2 linked regions of the Tribolium castaneum genome follow. Each later gene encodes a partner of the first gene's protein in a complex. Links are inferred from orthologs where the notes say so. Each region holds a gene or a part of one and is shown on either strand. Other genes may lie near its edges.

Region 1 (4,504 bases):
GATTGTATTTTTGTTACTACAATGAATTTATCAGTAAAATAGATTTTTTTGACGAAAAAAAAATAAGTAAAATAAAAATAGAAATTTTTAAAACTTCTTTCCTTAAGACAATAAAATTTTTAAGTGTGATTTTATTACTACAATTAATTTATTAGTAAGACTTATCTTTTTTGATCCTAAAAATAAAAAAGAAAGAATAAAAATAAAGAATTCTTAACAGTTTTTATATCTTATATAATTATACTTTTTTAAGCTTAGTTTTTGTTCCAATTGATCGTCTTTTTTAGATACCGAAAATTAAAAAGAAAATCAAAATAAAAAATTAAATAAGAATTTTTAACAATTATTGCCAAAAAAAAATAATTTTAACGTTCGTTTTTTATAACCACAATTAGTTATCTGTAAGACAGCAAAATTAAAACAAAAGTAAAAAATAATTATGTGGAATTTTTTACAATTTTTAAGCTGGGCTTTTGTTACTTCAATTAATTTATTAGTATATTTAATATAACTGTTTTTTTTGGCTCCGAGAATTAAAAAAATAAAAATAAGGAATCTTTGACATTTCTTACCTAAGGATGGTTAAATTTTAAAGCTCGGTTTTTATTTACTATTTAATTTATCGGTATGATTTATTTGTTGCCTTATTTGACTATACTTATTTGAATAAATTTGTACAAGTTTTATAGACGCCAATTTGTTGTAATTTTAGCAAAACTTTTTATACATAAACCTAATAATAACAGCTAAATTTAATTGTTTTACCTTCAATTACTAAGAAAATCATTTATTTATTGTCATATAAGGATAAAATTACAAACAAATAGTGTCAATGATGTTTTGTGAAAAACTTAAAAGAAATAAAAGAACAAATTCTCCGAAAGAAAGCGAAACACTAAAATTGTTTAAAAACTTGAAACTTTTAATAGAGTTTTTTACCTTTTTTGGATCCAATATAGCATCAATTTGTTTATCCTTTTTAATAATTTCATTCTGCAATTTGCGTATTTTCACCTTTAGCATACGATTTTCGGTGCTAATGTTGGATAAATTTTTCTTCAGATGAAAAATTTCAGTCCGCAAATCTCCATCATCTTGTAACTAATAATACAAAGTATAAATAAACTAAAGTATAAATATTTTATTACCTCATTTCGAAACATTGTAGCCGAAGACGAAGTTACGTTTGTTTTGTTTGTAATTTAAGTATTGATCAAACAAATTTTACAATGTAATTAGCAACGGATTGCAGCAAACACAAACATAAATATAGCCGGGTTAAAAATATTATATAATTAAAACTATTGTATCTATTTTCTACTATTTCTTACTTTCTTTAATCAATGTTGTTAAATTTTAAACAAATTTAAATTTACCGCTTTATGTCAAAAGCTGCGCAGGCGCAATTATGTTTCTTTGACATTTGACAGCAGCGTGTGACAGCTGATCGGTTGTTGTGTTTAAAAAGTGCTTCAAAAACAACAAATTAACTAATAAAAACTAAAAAAATGGTTATTGAAAAAAATCCTTTCCCTGGCAATGCCTTGGAACAATTTGTTTTATTGTCAAAGTCAACAAAAGGGGCTGCTTGTTCCGAACTGATCAAGCAAGTGTTGGAAGCCCCCGGTGTTTACGTTTTTGGTGAATTACTTCACATGCAAAACATTGAAGAGGTAATCAAACATATTTTTACATTTATACATTAACTAAGTGTTTTGTAGTTGAGTAATACACCACAGAAAAATTTCTACAACACTCTCAACTTGTTTGCTTACGGAACCTACAAGGATTATCTAGCAAATAAGAAGGATTTAATTGAATTAAGCCCAGCTCAGAAGAAAAAGCTTCAACATTTAACCATTGTTACGTTGGCCACCAAATCAAAGGTAGTTAAAGTAATTCCACTTTAGTGAAATTAAGTTTTTAATATGGATAACTATAGATTAGGAAACGACACGACCTACAAATAAAAAGTCCTCGTTCTCGATAGTTTCGATAGTGTTGTGTAGATGGCGGAGCACATTATTGTATTAAAATTTATCAATGGTTTTAATAGCAGTTAGCACATGGTATCCAAAAAAAGCATGTTAATGCAGCTTTTGGCTATCATTTTTTATTAAAAAAAATACAAGTTATTGCAATTTGCGAATGTTTCGGCATAAAAATGTCATCAGCTCTTAATGATTTTGTTTAATCTAGTTTGTTTAAAAACAAAAAAATTGTTGGCGTTCTTTCCAAAGCACTCTTTGTAAAAATGCTTTTTTCTCCATTTTGATGAGCATTTAAGATTCGATTATATCATGTGATACATAGATGTAATCGGAAATGAAAACACTTCAAAAATACAAAAAGCAAATATGGCTTCCATAAGAAAAAACAAAATTTAGTGTTGTAACACTGACATCAAGAACGCCTTGGAAAATGGGACGACAGATTTAGATTTCTTGTAAAAATGTACCTAAAGAACGTTCTAGTTAAAAACGTCTAGTTCTTTTGGTTTTCACTCGAAAAAAATTAAAACCCAAATTTTAACCACCTCGTATCTCGTATAATAACTGAGATTCCCATGGTGGAGCTGAAAAAACGGCCACCCAGTACATTGTTTTGACTACTATAACAATCTAAAGATAATCGAGTATATTCCTAAAATTCATAAAAGGGACATAAATTTGTACCATGTTACATGTTCAAGTTAACAAAAAAAACAAATATAAAAAAATTAAAAAAAGATTTTTTAACCATTTTTGCCTAGCGATAATCAAACTTTTCTGCTCGGTTTTTGTTACTACAATGAATTTATCAGTATCTAATACGAGTGATTTTTTTGAAAGTGAAAACAAAAAAATTAAAAACATTTTAAGCTTCTTTTTGATCCAAAAACTAGAAATTTTTACCGTACTTTATAATAAATCTTCTAAAAAGTCTGCAATTTTTTTTTATTTTTTGTCAAAAATAATTAAACTATCGACAAATTTACGTCATTTTCAAGCATTTTTGCACAAAAACTATTCAGTTCAAAATTGTACTATTTTTTAACTTTGTAAAAAAGTTGCATTGCATTTTTCTCTACAACTTTTTTTTAATAGAACGACTCTATTTTCTTAACGGCAATGGAAAGAATATCGATATTTATGGTGACTTTTATCAATACGTCCTATACCAATCTCTTACAGTTTTTGAAAAAAATCACAAAAAACGGATTTTACTTGGTAGTTTTCATAGTTAATCAAGTATACCTTGCAAAATGGTCAACAATTATCAAACTTCAATTTTTTATTTAGTTTTTAGCTGTTTCATTATCGAATAATCAGTAAAATAATCACATTTAATTATAGTTTATTATAAGTTAGTGAATTATGTAAAGTAACTCAGTCAGTTTGCCATTGATCCTTGAACTTCTTGAATGAAAATGGTAAATAAATAGGACATTTCTTTTTGTTAACAGTACAATTTTATCGTATTTTTCAAAAGTTTACTTGATTAAAAATGAAAATAATGAGCTAAAATTCTGTTTTTTGCGATTATTTCAAATACTGTAAGAAATAGATATATAGAAGATGTTATTAAAAGTATGCATAAAAATTGATGTTCTTTTGATTGCTATTTAAAAAACTGGGTAATTCCATTTGAAAAACTGTTTTATAATCATTTTTTAATCATCATTTTCAACAAATCATACCTCTAGCTATGTTAGAAGTTAAAGTTTCTAATGTAGGCTCTAAAAGAATCAGCCTATCTACTAATTTAACAAAATTTGATTGATTTTTCTTAGAGCAAGTAATAATAAAAACAATGTTTTTTTAGTGTATTCCGTACAACACCCTTCTGGAAGAGCTAGGCATAACAAATGTTCGTGATTTGGAGGACTTAATAATTGAGGCGATTTACGCTGACATTATTCATGGAAAATTGGACCAGAAAAATAGTCAATTGGAGGTTGATTATGCCATAGGTCGTGATATTCGTCCTGAAGACATTAATGTAATTGTGAATTGTCTCCAAGACTGGTGTTCGGCCTGTGAAGGTGTTTTGGCTTGTGTTGAAACACAAATACATAGAGCAAATAATGAAAAAAATAAATCAATGTTGAGAAAAGCTGAAGTGGAGCAAGAGGTATTTTTTTCGAGTTTGTATCATTACTTTGTTTTAGATATGCATTTTTTTTGTAGATTAGTAACATTAAAAAGACTCTGAAAACTCAATTACAAGAACGCTCTGATGGAACTGACGAGGCTATGGCTACTGATAACAGGGAAGCTGCAGCAATTAGCGAAAAAGGAAAAAAGTCAACTAAAATCAAAGGTATAAGGCATAGCAGTAAGTTTTGGCTTAAATCTTAATAATTTTTTTCTAATATATTAACATGTAACAATTTTAATGAGATCGTAAGTGTTATTTAATTATTGTTTGTACCTTTGGTACAAAATAAAATCTCTGTGAAATTCTAGCAGTTTAATATAGATAACCCATCCAAAATCCTTTGTAATAATAATGAGTTTGGGTT
Region 2 (2,883 bases), on another chromosome or scaffold:
GGGGTAAATAACCAATTTTTGCGATTAAAATTCCACTGCTTATGTAATTGTTAGACTGCGGCGAGCGCTACCGCTAATTTATTAAGCTATTATCAGTCAAACGCTTGGGGTTGTCCGAGGTATTTTTACCTCGAACAAAACAACGGATATGCTGCACAAGTTGTTCTACCTAGCGGTAAATCCATATCGGGAAAAACCGCAAAATCTCGGGAAGAAGCGAGTGAAAATGTGGCGCTAGATGCCTTAAACATGCTAAAAAATGTAAGATTTTTACGTAAAAATAATAAAACTAAAAGTATGTTCCTAGAAGAGTTCTAAGCCAGCAAAAACGGGCCTTCCGTCCGAATTTCCCGTGCCCCCAACCAAGTGGGTCCAAGACCGCCAACAACAAAACAAAATGCCATCCCAAGTTTTTGTGAATAAGTCGTACCAGGTACCACTCTAAATCGTCAAAGAAACGCCGAAATCTTTTATTTTAAGTTCAAACAGGGTGGACATAGTCAGCATCAGAGAATGCCGCCCCCGCACCAAACGGACTACAGTAGAAGGGACCCCGAGTCTAATTTTAGTCGAAATCCGCACACGAGTGCGAAAGCACACAATTTCGTGCCGCTTCAAGCGTTAAAAAAGAAGCAAACTCATGGGAATAAGAATCTTAACACTGGGAATAAGAATGTTAATGAAAATTCACCGCGGAAAAAACAAGAAAAAACTGATGTTTCAAGTAACAGCCAAAACGCTGGAATCTCGAAGGTGAAACTTGCAATGGGGATAATTTAAGTTGACTGACTTGTTACAGGCATGTGAGTTGGAGCGAAATGACCGGCGGGATAAATCAGCAAAGCAGAGGAAAACTAGAATTGCAGCTAGATTCAATCAGTAATTTTAAGAACTAATGGACTGAATTAAAATACATTTTGTTCCGTCTTAATTTCCTCCACTTTAGGTTGATTGAACTATTCCTTTTTAAAGAAATATTTATGGACAAAACTTGAACAAAACATGTGGTTTTTGAGTGTATATACGCTTTCATGCTGTAAATATACACATCCTTCTTTGCCTGTGGACTTTCATTACCTTTGTGCTGCTGATACCAAGCAAAAATGTGGTCAAAAATTTAACGAACACATTGATAGATTGCTATTTTAATTAATATATTTGAATTTTAACTTTTTTAATTTTTTGTCCATATAAAGGGCGGTTTACATTGACCGGTTATCATCATGGAATGAAACGACAGTGGGTGGTGTTTGATATTTTATAAATTCATAAAACACAAACTCGGGCTTTATTATTCAAATTAATTCGATGAAAACGTGATTACCTAATTAGGCATTAGATCTTTTGTGAATTTTTTGAAATTAAAAAAAATGGCGACGTTTTTCGCGGGCGTCGGCAGCGTTCGTGCATTTCCGGCGCAGTCGGGTTTTGGTCAGTTGGTTGTTCGCACTCGTAAATAAAAAATGTGTATGATTTTAAAACGAGACATTTGTTAAAACCAAATTATAAAGAACTCCTCACAAAATGGTTTCTAGTAACATTGAAAAATTAGCAGAAGACTTAGAGAAGCAAGAGTTAGAAGTAAGAGTCATCATCGAGAGATATAACCTCAAACTTCCAATTTTTTACAAATTTGGCGTTTTTTCAGGCACAGAACGGTATAGCATCACCTCAAGTTTACGAACAACTCCTAGCTATATATTTATACGAAAACGACTTGTAAGTATCGCCGGTTTTGGTTCGGTATTGCCGCTAAGGCTAGTTGTAGATGCAATGCAAAATATTTATGGAAACGCATCCCGGCTTCGGTGAAGTCGTCCACTCCTGAGCTAAACAACATCTGGGCCGTGGCCCAGCATATGTGGAAGAGGGACTTCCCGGGGATTTACAAGGCTCTGAACGCGGTAACATGGTCCGACGGTGTGGCGAATATTATGAAACAAGTTCAAGGTTTCTTGCTAATTGGATCACTCTAAACACCACTAATGATTGCGTTTTACAGACAGAGTGAGAAATAGATCAGTAGATTTAATAGCACAAGCGTATTCTTCAATAACATTAGACACTGTTTCTGCAATGACGGGCTTGCCCCCAGACATTTGTGCAACGGCTTGTGTGGAGAGGGGCTGGCAAGTGGAAGCCGACACTAGGATGGTTCACCCCGTTAGACCAACCCCACAAACTTCTGGCCAGACAAGTAGTGAAGATCAATTGTATAAACTGACAGATTTTGTATCATTTCTCGAAAATTGAATTGTATTTTTGTTTTTATAAGTTAATTGTAAGCTAATATAAATATTTCAGTAAATTCCTTCTCATTTAATTGACACAATGCAGAACCACTTGGTGTAATGCCAAACAATTTCCTAAAATAACGGGTGACACCTTCAGATATAAAATAATCCACAGGCGTCGCCCTACACGCAGTCAGTTTTCACACGCGACTAAATGGCTCCAGCTTCACCATGGGGGCCTCAATCGAGCGAAACGAAATGAACAAAATTCATAAAAACCGCCAAATAGCCTGTCAATTTGACAACTCGCCTGGGATTTGAGGTTAAAAACGCTTGACGTTTGTGTCATTGGGTGGCCAAAATTTATTTTTTATTTTATTTTCCAATTTAACGCAAAAATGGTAAAGCATTCGGTCGTCCAAAGGCACTGCTAATCGATTCCTTTCCAGCATGGAAGGATCAAAGTTCGCACTAGCGAAGAACAGAAGCTGCAAAAGCAGAAAGAGCAGCAGAAGAAACTGGTAGCTTATCGCATGGGAATGAAGCAGATCTTGTCGACGAGAAATAAGGAGAATTATGATCCGGCGTCGTTGCTTTTAAGTGGCCAGCTCTTGAGTGTGAATCCCGACATTTACACTTTGTGGAATTA

Evidence for each region.
Region 2: CSN7 (region 1) and CSN8 share a complex: the UniProt entries of both Drosophila melanogaster proteins name them as parts of the CSN complex. The link is inferred for Tribolium castaneum from reciprocal best matches to the Drosophila melanogaster genes CSN7 and CSN8.

Annotation. Positions count from the first base shown.
Region 1 is NC_087395.1:497,620-502,123, forward strand, and holds CSN7 (COP9 signalosome complex subunit 7b), read left to right. Parts: upstream 1-1,411; 5' UTR 1,412-1,508; coding exon 1,509-1,673; intron 1,674-1,721; coding exon 1,722-1,886; intron 1,887-3,804; coding exon 3,805-4,113; intron 4,114-4,169; coding exon 4,170-4,340; 3' UTR 4,341-4,447; downstream 4,448-4,504. Other genes in the region: IQ domain-containing protein E-like, read right to left, coding at 940-1,101, 1,149-1,163. UniProt on the Drosophila melanogaster protein: Component of the COP9 signalosome complex (CSN), a complex involved in various cellular and developmental processes.
Region 2 is NC_087398.1:6,313,413-6,316,295, forward strand, and holds CSN8 (COP9 signalosome complex subunit 8), read left to right. Parts: upstream 1-1,397; 5' UTR 1,398-1,524; coding exon 1,525-1,581; intron 1,582-1,648; coding exon 1,649-1,719; intron 1,720-1,768; coding exon 1,769-1,950; intron 1,951-2,002; coding exon 2,003-2,253; 3' UTR 2,254-2,308; downstream 2,309-2,883. Other genes in the region: pcm (5'-3' exoribonuclease 1), read left to right, coding at 1-3, 55-261, 308-433, 481-753, 800-883; RabGGTa (geranylgeranyl transferase type-2 subunit alpha), read left to right, coding at 2,633-2,635, 2,684-2,883. UniProt on the Drosophila melanogaster protein: Probable component of the COP9 signalosome complex (CSN), a complex involved in various cellular and developmental processes.